Linked DNA regions of Rattus norvegicus. The protein of the gene in region 2 interacts with the protein of the main gene of each other region in a biochemical or structural test. Links are inferred from orthologs where the notes say so. Each region holds a gene or a part of one and is shown on either strand. Other genes may lie near its edges.

Region 1 (4,226 bases), on a different chromosome or scaffold from region 2:
GCTTGGACGCTGACTTGAGTCCGCCTCTCACGCAGTTGCTTTACTGAGAAGCCCCGGGTTGTCAGGAAGGAGCGGTTGAACCATATGGCCCCCCAGCTGCTCTGCAGCTCTGGCTCTCGTGACTGAGGGAATTATCTCCCTTCTGCCCTTGACCCTGCTCCGTGTCTCCTTTCCTCAGTCCACCTGGTGTCTGCAGCCAGCCTACCTCCAGCAGAAGAGTTAGGATGTGAAGGGAGTTCCAGGCACGTCTGTGTTGCAAAAGCATTGATCATTAGGGACAGTCAGGCGACTATTCAGTGTGATGACGAGGATAAAGTCTTGAGTGTCCCGTCCTGGACAGTTAGGAGCTGGCCTTGTTGTTGTGGAGAGGCTGTTGTCTGGCTCTCAGTGGCCTGCTCTTCTGCTCTGCGGGGAGGCCGTCTTGTCTCTCAGGTCTTTTGCAGACTGGCATTGAGGTCACAAGGCAGGATGAATGCTGGGTAGTTAGGGTGGCGCTTTTCTGAAGAGTTCGTGGTACTGGAAAGCTGTGAACAGTGGAGTGCAGAGGCTACAGGGTCAAGTAAGGAGTGAGCAACTGAAGATACATTTGGTGGAGAAAACCAAAAGAAACCCTAACACCAGGCGTAGCCGGGAACAGTTGCAGGTGGGCAGAGAGACTCATCCTGCAGCAGGGCCGTCCGCAATCTTCCGACTTACACTGCATTAAGTTTCATTGTTGGTGCTGCTTTAGGATGTTTTAAAAGATTCAGGAGCCTTGAAAGCACTAAAGGGACGCAGGCTGGTCATGCCAGCTCCAGCCGTTCTGCACTCAGCTTGTCTTTCCGGCCATTGTGTCGCCACATAGCCAAAGACTTCGCTTGGAGGCCACAGATGGGCTCCTTACAGGGGTCCATGGGGGTACAGGCATGGCTGGGGAGCTGTTGGGAGTTGCTGTGGAAGCCCACAGGGGGGCTGCTGCAGCCAGGCGGGCCTGTGACCCAGGCTACTTTGTCCCAGGTTGAAGTCAGCCGTAGAGTGACTCTGGAGAAGCTTCCCCCTGTCCTTGTGCTCCACCTGAAGCGCTTCGTCTATGAGAAGACGGGCGGATGCCAGAAGCTCGTCAAGAACATCGAGTACCCTGTGGACTTGGAGATCAGCAGAGGTAATGCCGGCCTGTGCCTGCTGCAGTCCCCACAGCCTGTCACCGCCTGGTCACCAGTTAGGACTCTTTGTTTTAGCTTTATTGACATTTGTGGGTCTCTATACTGAATGCTCGCCAAGGTGGCTTCCTTAGTTTTAACTTTGACTTAGGGATGGTTTGCCGGTATGGAGTGTGCACTGTGTGCTTGGCGGACTACAGAGGCCCAAAGGGGCGTTGGCCTTACAGGTGGCTGCCAGCTACTGTGTTGGTGCTGGGCTCAAACCCAAGTTCTCTGAAAGAGTAGCCAGTGCTCCTAACCACTGAGCCATTATATTTTGTTTTTGTTTTAAGGCAGGGTCTCGGTATGAAGTGCTGGCTGGCCTGGAGCTCTCTATATAGACCAGGCTGGCCATGCACTCTTATTACAGCGATTTGCCTGGTGCAAATACAGGAAGGAGATGTAATGTGACTGGATCAGAAAAGCAGGAGAGCAGCCGGGGCTGGCTGGGGATGCCCTCCCCCACAGCGACATGGTGCCTGTGCAGAAATGTGCTGGCTACTGCTTTCTGTGGCTTCTGTGTCGTGTCAGAGGGAGACCACATACCTGCCTGGTGCCTGCAGGGGCAGCCAGTGCTCCAGCCACTGAGGCGTCTGTCTCACTAGCTCTGACAGCCTGTTCTGAAGAGCCCTAAGAGACAGGTTGAAGGAAACCTGTTTTTTTGTTTGTTTTAAGGTTTGTTTTACGGTATGTGTGATTTGTATGTACAGGTAGGCGTGCATGCCACAGCACATGTGTGTTGTTGGCTTAGGAGGTCAGAGCTCACCTTTAATTATGTCCTGGCCTTCATGTGGAAATCAGATGGCACCTTGTAGGAGTAGGTTCTCTCTCTCCACCATGTGGGTGAACATCTTAGATTGTACGCCGGAGTGTGGCAAGGCCAGGCAGTCTACAGAACACAGAGATCTGGGAAAGAAAAAGACAGCGGTGTCTTGCTCTGATCTTGGAGAGAGATCCTCTTGGGTCTGTTCCTCCTGTCCCAGCCCTGCATACCCCGGTTCCTGTCTCCTGTGGCTGTGAGAACCTTCGGGTTCACTTCTCACACCGCTCTGGGCCATGCCTGCTGACCCTCGAAGTGGGATGGGTGTTTTTAAGGGCCCTGTCACCAACCAGTGCTGCTGTGCTGTGAAGACTTTGTTGAAGTGTTGTTATTTTGTTTTTCAGAACTGCTTTCTCCAGGCGTCAAAAATAAAAACTTTAAATGCCACAGAACCTATAGGCTGTTCGCAGGTGAGTGTGTTTGCCCTCTTCTCCCTCAAAACCACAGTGAACAGAGAGTCTAAGGTACCAGGCAAAAATGCCCTGGAACACACACCACAGACAGGGTCCAAGGAGAGCTCAGTTGTCTGTAAAGCATTTGTGCCCGTTTTTGCCTTGAGTCGTGGCTGACAGGAGAGAGTGTTGCTGTCTGTGAGCATCCGCCTGAGTCAGTGGCCTGCAGGCTCCTGTGGTGCCACCTCCCTTTGGAACAGTTGGGTGGGGGTCGGTGAGGAGGGTGTGAGGGTGGGGGTCTGAGGCAGTGGGGTGAGGGGCTGTTCTCACGGGCTGCCCGCTTGGTGCTGTCTTCCAGTGGTCTACCATCATGGCAACAGTGCTACAGGTGGCCACTACACCACGGACGTCTTCCAGATTGGGCTTAACGGCTGGCTGCGAATTGATGACCAGACGGTCAAGGTTATCAACCAGTACCAGGTGGTGAGACCAAGTGCTGACCGCACCGCCTACCTCCTGTATTACCGCCGTGTGGACCTGCTGTAGCTCTGCCCGTGTGTCCGACGCTGTCTCCCATATCTCCCAGCTCACTAACCGCCCGCCTCTCCAGTGGCTCTGTGGAGAGAGGCTCTCCCTCTGCGCCAGGGGGCTTGGATGGAAGATGTCTGGGGGGTCTGCACAGCGCAGCTCATGCTGACTCTGACTTCAGACTGGACTGTGGCTTGAGTGAGGAGACACACACGAGCCGCCGCTTCTGAAGAGCCGCTGGTTCCTGAGCCCCTGGGGAGGTGGCTCGCACTGGGTCCCAGTTTGATGCGTAGTGGAATAAGTCCCGCACCAGCAGCTCTTGTAAATTTGTGAAAATGAATTTTATCTTTCCTTAAAAAAATAATTTTTTTAATTCATCACACTTTCTTCCTTTACCCTTTAGTTTTTGATAAATGACAAAAATGAGCCAGTTATCAGAGATGAGATAGCTCTTACTTCAAAAGGAGATAAATATAAAAAAAAATATGTTGCTGGTTCCTAACAGGAAACGAATTTTAAATGATTGCAAGAGGGAAACTGCTGACATAGACATCGCGGGTCAGACATGTGGGTAGACGTCAGGCTGCAGAGGTGGCTGGCGGATTGTAACTTTATCACCGTGAACAGATTTCAAATCGCATTCATGTTCTGTGTGCACATGAACAGTGGGCAGAGGGACGGACACTTGCCGGTGTCTGCTGTGGAGTCTGCCACACCTCTGATGCCATGTCCCTGTTATACACAGTGTAGTGCTTCCTCGGAGTATAAAGTTGTCACCCGTCAATAAAGATCACAAAGTTGGTTTAAAGCTGTGTCTCTTGCTGGGTCAGCCTCAGCTCAGCCGGGACTCTGGCCGTGCTGGGTCAGTATGGCTGTTGCTGAGCTGGGGAGGGCCTGTCCCTGAGTGTTGCTTCCTCTGATCTTGCGGCTCAGGTGAGGGCCAAGTCTTACCTGAGTGTCCTGATGCCGCCTCAGCTCCTGGCAAAGATGAAGAGGCCTCTGCTGTGTGAGGGGCTCCTCAGGGCAGGGCTCACAGTGGGATGAAACCTACTCCCAAGCTCCTTCCTTTCGTGAAGGGGCTGTGTTCTACCGAAGCCCTGCCCAGCCTCCCTTCAAGATTTCTGGAAACTTCTGTGCTTTCTGGAAACCAGTTGACAGCCAGAGGGGACTCCGGCCTCGTTTCCATGTGATGTGGCTGGAATGAACCAAAGCACACCCATCCCACAACTGGGGCTCACCCAGTCTGCAGTACGCCCCGAAAGCCATCACAAGAGGCCAACGCATGCCTTCCAAGTGAGCGTCCTGTTT
Region 2 (3,500 bases):
CCTGTATAGGGCAGAGGGCAGTTGCATTTGTACCCAGCGACATCATCAATGCAGGTGCCCTGGTTCAGGCAGGGGTTGGAAGCACATTCGTTAATGTTGGTCTGGCAGTTAGGGCCTGTAGGAAGAAGAGCAAGAGTGGGTGGGCCTGAGCCTCTGCCCTCTGCCCTTACTCGGGAGAGCCAGGGGCCCAGCCTGAGAAATGCCAGCAGCTCCTGTTCATCAGGTAGACCAAGAAAGAAGACACCGTGGGGTTGTATTGCCACCAGGGAGGACCCACTCTGCTGTGTCACCCACCACACTCACCACTGAAGCCTTCTCGGCAGGTGCATACGTAGCCACTGGTCATGTCTTTGCAGGTGCCACCGTTGACACAAGGGTTGGACTCACACTCATTGTTGTTGATGTCACAGTTTGTCCCACTCCACCCAGGGGCACAGTCACATTTGTATCTGTAGAGAGGCCTCTGTTTGTAGCCTGGGCTACAGATACAGTTCCTAGACTACAGATCCAGTCTGAGGGCAAGGACACATCATCTACTGGACTGGAGGTACCCGCCTTTCCCAAGACCATGCAAGGGTTCTAGACTGGGACAGTGTGACCCAGTACTGACCCTCTGTACCAAACTTTTTAACAGTTTGAATAAGGACTTTAGCAGTCTCCCCATATACACACTGACAGAGGGCTGCTGTCACAGGTATCAGACGACCGTTTCAACAGCCAGGGTGCTTAAGGTCTATATCCTGAGCTGATGTTAGCCAATAAGGACACAACCCAGGGATGCTGGGAAGACTCTTGGGGCTGACCTCACACTACTGGTCTCACAGGAACACCCATTCACCCAGTCCGTATCTGCCCCAGGCTTCTAGCTGGTTCCCCCCAGGCCAGTCTGCCATACCCATTGAGGCCATCCCGGCAAGCTCCATGGATGCAGGGGTTACTGTTGCACTCGTTGACCTCAGACAGGCACGTAGGGTCGTGGTAGCCCTCGGGGCAGCGGCAAGTGAAGCCGGCGATGCCATCCTCACAGGTGCCCCCGTTGTGGCAGGGGCTGCCCGCACATTCGTCAATGTTGACATTACACATGCTCCCTGTGGGGGAGAAGGGGCTGATACCAGGCCTGCCACCCAGAGACCAACCCTCCTGGAGCTAAACCTGGCTGGGCCTCAGTTTCCCCGTGTGCCAATCTATGGAACTTTAAGCCACGGGAAAGTGCCTTATGCAGCAATGAGTTACGTGACTGTGGTGCCAGTAGCTTCAGGGTCTCCTGTTGGTCCAGTCTGGCCACAAACTCACTGCATAGCTGAGAACAGCCTGCGTTTCTGATCCTCTTGCTTTCAATGTCAGAGTACTAACATATGCCGCTACGCTTGGCTTATGTGGCAGGAGAACTGAACATGTATGTGGCAGGGGTTTTGCACGCTAGGCCAACACCTTACCAACCGAGTCATTCTTCAGCCAAACTTTACTACACCCTTGAGACCTCTGGGACACTGTCCCTCTGTTGACAAGGTTCCCAGGGCTCAGAGAAATTAAGGTTCTTATCAGATATAAGGGTGTCAGAGGCAGAACGTGTGTCCGAAAGCCTGGCCTCGGAGCTCTAGCCACCCCACTTCAGCCATTAAGTCTGATGTGGCCAGGGCTGACACTGACAGGGGACAGAAGGCATGTGGAGGCCACCCAGTCCTTATGATACCCGCCCTGTGGGCAGACCAAGATCTGGGAGGCGGATACCTAACTTGTGTCCTCCAGCCCTTGGACCCCTGCTAACCCCACAGTCCCTCCCAGACCTCATTCATCTAAAGGCTCTAGGGTTGACCTTGACCTCCAACTTCAGCCGCTCACCTGTGTAGCCTGGCTCGCACGCACACTCGTAGCCATCGATCTTGTCCAGACACGTGCCAGAGTCACAGGGGTTGCTCGCACAGTCATCCAGATTGATCTCACAGTTGGGTCCTAGGGGCAGCGTGACATGTGGTCAGCCTCCAAGCCTAGCCTCACCCTTTTCCACCCACTGCCAGCTCTGGCCAGTCACCTGTGGTCCCCTTGAGGCATAAGCAGAGGTAGTAGTTGTCACGGTCCTGGCAGGTGCCGCCATGGCGGCACGGCTGGCTGTGACACTCATTAATGTTGGTCTCACAGTGATGGCCTGTGTAGCCTGGCTGGCAGAGGCAGGTAAAGGTGGCCACACCATCCTTGCACAAACCATAGTGACAGGGGTCAGGGTCACACTCGTCAATGTCCACCTCGCAGTGGGTCCCCGTGTAACCTAGATGGCAGGAAAGGTGGACATTGGTGAGCTTCAGGGCCAGTTACTCCCTCAACACTCAGTTGGCTACACCTAGGGAAAATACTGAGCAGGCCCAGCCCAGGGTCACTGGATGTGGGAGTGTCACATACCCCGGGATGTTCTCATCACTCCTGTCTGGAGTCAAAGCAGAGTTAAGTTCTTGACGCTCAGATTATATAGCCCCAAACGAAGGGCTCCCCAGTTTCCTGTCCCTTCTTCCCACTATCTAAGCCCGAGTCCCCTCCCCCAGACCCTGCACACTGCCTCTTGTACCTTCTGTGCACACGCAGGTGTAGGTGTTGGGCCCATCCAGGCACTTGGCGCCGTTCTTGCATGGTGTGCTGGCGCACTCATCCACGTCATACTGGCACAGGTGCCCGCTGAAGCCTGTGGCCAGGGAAGAGGAGATGGTTATGTCTGACAGTATCCTAGCCCTTCGGTTGCTACCCACAGACCCTATAGTTAGCTGAATGACTGCTCACATGGGCTCCCTAGAGGGTACTTTGTCACCAGTGGCCACTGACCTCCAGGCTTCAACCTGCCCTGGTACCCTTACCCCTCTGATCAGTTCCTGGTTCAGCACTGCTCAGTGGCTGCCTCCCTGGCCCAACAGAGGGGCCCTTTTCCTAAATAGCGTCTGGTTGCTATGGTTACAGCTGCACTAGGTTGTGAATGGGACTCCCCTTGCTCGACCAAGTCTAAGATGGCTGATTTACATCTCACAAGGCCCAAAGTCTGGTCCAGCTCTGGGGTAGGCAAGAGACACCTTCCCGGGGCTTTTATGTTCCCTCCTCAGTTCCTCCAAGTCCTTCCCAGATATACAGGTCAGATCCCCACACTGTGTCTCACTCGCAGGTGGACCCCCTTATCTCGGGAGCACCGCAGCTCCTGTTTATCTTTCCCCCCTTTAGTAAAGGGTTTCTGGTGCCAGGCTCTCTATAATGCCCACTCTCATGTGGGCCTTTCTTTACCTTTGAGGAAAGCCTGAAAACCTCCTAGTCAACTCACAAGGCAAATTCCTCCCTCAAAGGTGTCTGGGAAGAGAGCATGAGGACACAGGTCCTGTGGTAAGTAGGTGGCCTCACCTTTGGGACACTGACACAGGAACTCGTTGATCTTGTCCACGCAGCGGCCATTGTGTAGACAGGGGCTGCTGGCACACTCGTCCGTGTTGATCTCACAGTATACACCCTCATAACCTGGGGATGGGAGA
Region 3 (3,500 bases), on a different chromosome or scaffold from region 2:
AAGCAATGACAGATCCATCGCCGAGTGGTGCCATCTCGACATATGTAAGAAAAGGCTCTGTCAAAGTTCCTATCGGGGGCGCAGAAAGAAACTTTTTCTATTGTCTGGTCAACTATGAGGTCCTAGAAAATGGAAGCAAAGAGCAAGAGAAGGCTTCTGAGTTATCCGGGCTTCTCAGCAGCAGCACAGGATGCTCCTTTGCAATGCAGAATCCCCACATAGGGTGCGACTTGATGAGGAGGCTCAAACGGCTCCCTAGCTTTATTGCTATGCTCTGAAGAGTGTATGTGTCAGGTGGTTCCGGCTTGGAGCGCTTCCACAGTAGCTGCCATATTCAACTTGACAGTATGCGTACATAAATAAATGTTTAAATCCTCTTGGGTTATTTGCAAATACAGCAAAAACATACAATAGTGAGTTCCCACTATATATTACACAGATTAGAACAATAATACATATTATTCTATACTTTCCCCCTTTCAACTAACTGTATGTCCGTCCAGTAGAAATCTTTTAGTTCAAGTATTCTATTTTACAGATGTACAGCTTTCTCTCTCTCTGATTTCTTTCTTTTCCTTCCTTCCTTCTCTTTGTTTTTGGAGTTTGTGTCTCACCATGTAGCCATAGCCGTCCCAGAACTCAGACATCCTTCTGGCTCTGCCTGCCTGCCAGGTTGGATTAATGGCGCGTACCACCATGCCTGGCCCTAACATTTTTATTTGCTTCTTTTTTTCAGAAATTCCGAGATTATCCAGCTTTTCATTCAGCAGCAGCATTTCTTCCTTCATATGCCTCAGTGCGATTTTAACGCCTGCTTTATAAATTCTGCCTATTCTTCTGGGTCATTCTGGGGCTGGCTCTGCTTTCTCTGTGAGAATGTATCAGCTTCTATTTCTTTGTACAATAGAGACCGATGCATCGCCACGACACAGGCCATTGCTCAAAGAAAGTCAGAGACCTGACGCTCAGATTTCTACAGCTCTATTAATTTGTGCAGATCATGCATGATCTTGTCACAATTCCAACACTGTATTATCCCTGGTAATAGGTAAAATATAAAGGTGGGGCAATGGAACCAATAGTGATAAACTGTCAATTATGGTACGTGTGGTGGCTCATGTCTGCAATCCCAGAACTTGGGAGGCTAGGGCAAGAGAACTGAGCAAATTCAAGGCCAAACTGGGCTGCTGCATACTGAACTCAAGACGAGACTGGGCTACAGAGAGATCCTGTCTACCTCCCCTCCCCCAATTCAACTAGCCTGACCACCAGTAACTTATCAGTCAACATGGAAAGAACAAAATTCATAAATGTAGGTGCTAAAAAAGTAGCCACCAGAGGGCAAACAAATACATGGCCACGAGAATGACAAATTGCTTGGTATGGTGGCACAAGTCTATTATCCCAACACTTGCGAGGTTGACGCGGGGGAATTGTTAGATCAAATTCAGCAAGACTTACCTATCTTCCTTCCTTCCTTCCTTCTTTCCTTCCTTCCTATTTTATTTATTATGAGTACACTGTAGCTGTCTTCAGACACCCCAGAAGAGGGCATCAGATCCCATTACAGATGGTTGTGAGCCACCATGTGGTTGCTGGGAATTGAACTCAGGACCTCTGGAAGAGCAGTCAGTGCTCTTAACCCCTGTGCCATCTCTCCAGCCCATGTCTTTAGGTCTTAAGAAAATGTACTAATGATTACTTGACCATACATATCTTGGTCGTTTAGGGTCCCTTTCTCTCAAAAACAGAGTGCTACCTAGAATACTGTTGGACCCTCAGCAAACCTCACCTCTCATGCTGAACGTTTACCCGACTTGGGCCTTCAGCAGCTGACCCAATTATCCCTCTCTAAGTCACATTTCCTCAAGGAACAAGGGCAAATTTAACATGTGGCCTGTCATCTAAAAAAATTACAGTAAAAGATAGATCACCTTTTACATTCAAGGATCTGAAAAAAGTAAACATAGAAAATAGAACTCATATCTTAGCATTAAGCATTAATGCTTGGCACATACAATAAGCTACATCATGTGGAACAAAATGCCGAGAGATTATGTTCATAGAGTAAATGAGTTACTAAACTAGTTTCCTGAACATTAAAACAGTCTCTCAAAAGGCTGTACTTTGGACACAGTGGCAGGATATTATAGAGCTACTACAACAGCTTAATGACATTTTATCACTAGAGATAAACCACATTAGACGCAACATTTAAACTCACAAAACTCTTACCTTAGTTTTTTCATCCACAACTCTGAGTCCATCTGCTGATACCCACAGAACGGCCTTCACTGCTTTCTTTCCCGTCTTTTAAAAGATAAGGGGGAGGGAGGAGACAATACATACATAATTTTAAAAAGAAAACGAAACTCAGAAAATACTGATTTCCATCTTCTAAAAAGTCACAAGGAAAGAGGAAATCCAGCTTCAGGACTGATACCCAAAGCCAGATACTCAAGCCAAATAGAGACATTCAGGGGAAAAAAAGCTAAGCTATTACCTCAGAAATACAACACAACATCGTAAGATAAACTAAGGGAGAAGAGACAGATAAAAGTAAAACCGAGGTAACACATTCCAGAAAAGGCAAAGAACTCCCAACTAGAGTCTTCATCCATTTAAAAACTCAGCTGAGAAAACTAAGAATCTGACAATAATAGATACATAAGGAGTTACACCACAGGAGACCTGCAGGTACAGAAGGGGACAGATAAGTCTCAGTCACTTCTGAACCATTCTGCTATCCTCTGAGAACCAGTGTGACCCTTTGTCACCTGAAATTTTCAGTTAAAAATTCAAGAAACCATAATCATTTTATGAACAATCCTTAAAAAATAATTATTTATTCCCTCAAGATTAACTATGATTTAGCTTAGGTTTAAAAAAATTATTATTTATGTATTTTATGTAAAAGGACATTTTGTCTGCATGTATATCTGCACACCAGAAAAGGGAATCAGATCTCATGGGATGAGGGTTAGAGCCAGTTGTAAACAGTCATGTGGGTGCTGGGAACTGAACTAAGTAACGTCTGGGCCACTGCTCCAGCCCCAGTCTAGCCAAGCTTTTAATTTGACATTAAATGCTGGGAACATTCTGAGGGCATAGGAAGATTTAAAAATTACAGGGACGATTAAGGTTAGTTTTCTGTTTTTGAGACATGGTTTCTCTGTGTAGCCCTGGCTGTCTTGGAACTCATTGTATACAGCAGACTGGCCTCAAACTCAGAGATCTGCCTGCCTCTGCTTCCTGAGTGCTGGGACTAAAAGTGTGAACCTTCAGAGCCTGTTTTTTGGTTTGTTTGTTTGTTTGTTTGAGTAGCAAACAAGAATATTTTTGAACAAGCTGACAATGTTTTTCTTCTTTGAGGGAATGCAATAGTACTTAATGTCATTTCTTAACTTGCCTATGGATATAAGTAAATTAAAACAAAGACAGGTTGAGGGCAGGTATCAGATTGTCATAGAAATACAGACCAAAGAGAATCTGGTGCTAAA

Evidence for each region.
Region 1: the proteins of Notch1 (region 2) and Usp10 form a complex in vitro, tested with the Homo sapiens proteins (2 studies listed by BioGRID, with this or other methods). The link is inferred for Rattus norvegicus from reciprocal best matches to the Homo sapiens genes NOTCH1 and USP10.
Region 3: the proteins of Notch1 (region 2) and Numb form a complex in vitro, tested with the Homo sapiens proteins (2 studies listed by BioGRID). The link is inferred for Rattus norvegicus from reciprocal best matches to the Homo sapiens genes NOTCH1 and NUMB.

Annotation. Positions count from the first base shown.
Region 1 is NC_086037.1:64,919,797-64,924,022, forward strand, and holds the end of Usp10 (ubiquitin carboxyl-terminal hydrolase 10), read left to right. Parts: intron 1-996; coding exon 997-1,141; intron 1,142-2,342; coding exon 2,343-2,408; intron 2,409-2,748; coding exon 2,749-2,936; 3' UTR 2,937-3,726; downstream 3,727-4,226. UniProt on the Homo sapiens protein: Hydrolase that can remove conjugated ubiquitin from target proteins such as p53/TP53, RPS2/us5, RPS3/us3, RPS10/eS10, BECN1, SNX3 and CFTR.
Region 2 is NC_086021.1:29,694,114-29,697,613, forward strand, and holds part of Notch1 (neurogenic locus notch homolog protein 1 precursor), read right to left. Parts: intron 3,487-3,500; coding exon 3,373-3,486; intron 2,675-3,372; coding exon 2,561-2,674; intron 2,267-2,560; coding exon 2,033-2,266; intron 1,954-2,032; coding exon 1,843-1,953; intron 1,089-1,842; coding exon 896-1,088; intron 450-895; coding exon 304-449; intron 116-303; coding exon 2-115; intron 1-1. UniProt on the Homo sapiens protein: Functions as a receptor for membrane-bound ligands Jagged-1 (JAG1), Jagged-2 (JAG2) and Delta-1 (DLL1) to regulate cell-fate determination.
Region 3 is NC_086024.1:109,176,464-109,179,963, forward strand, and holds part of Numb (protein numb homolog), read right to left. Parts: intron 2,311-3,500; coding exon 2,236-2,310; intron 123-2,235; coding exon 1-122. UniProt on the Homo sapiens protein: Regulates clathrin-mediated receptor endocytosis. Plays a role in the process of neurogenesis.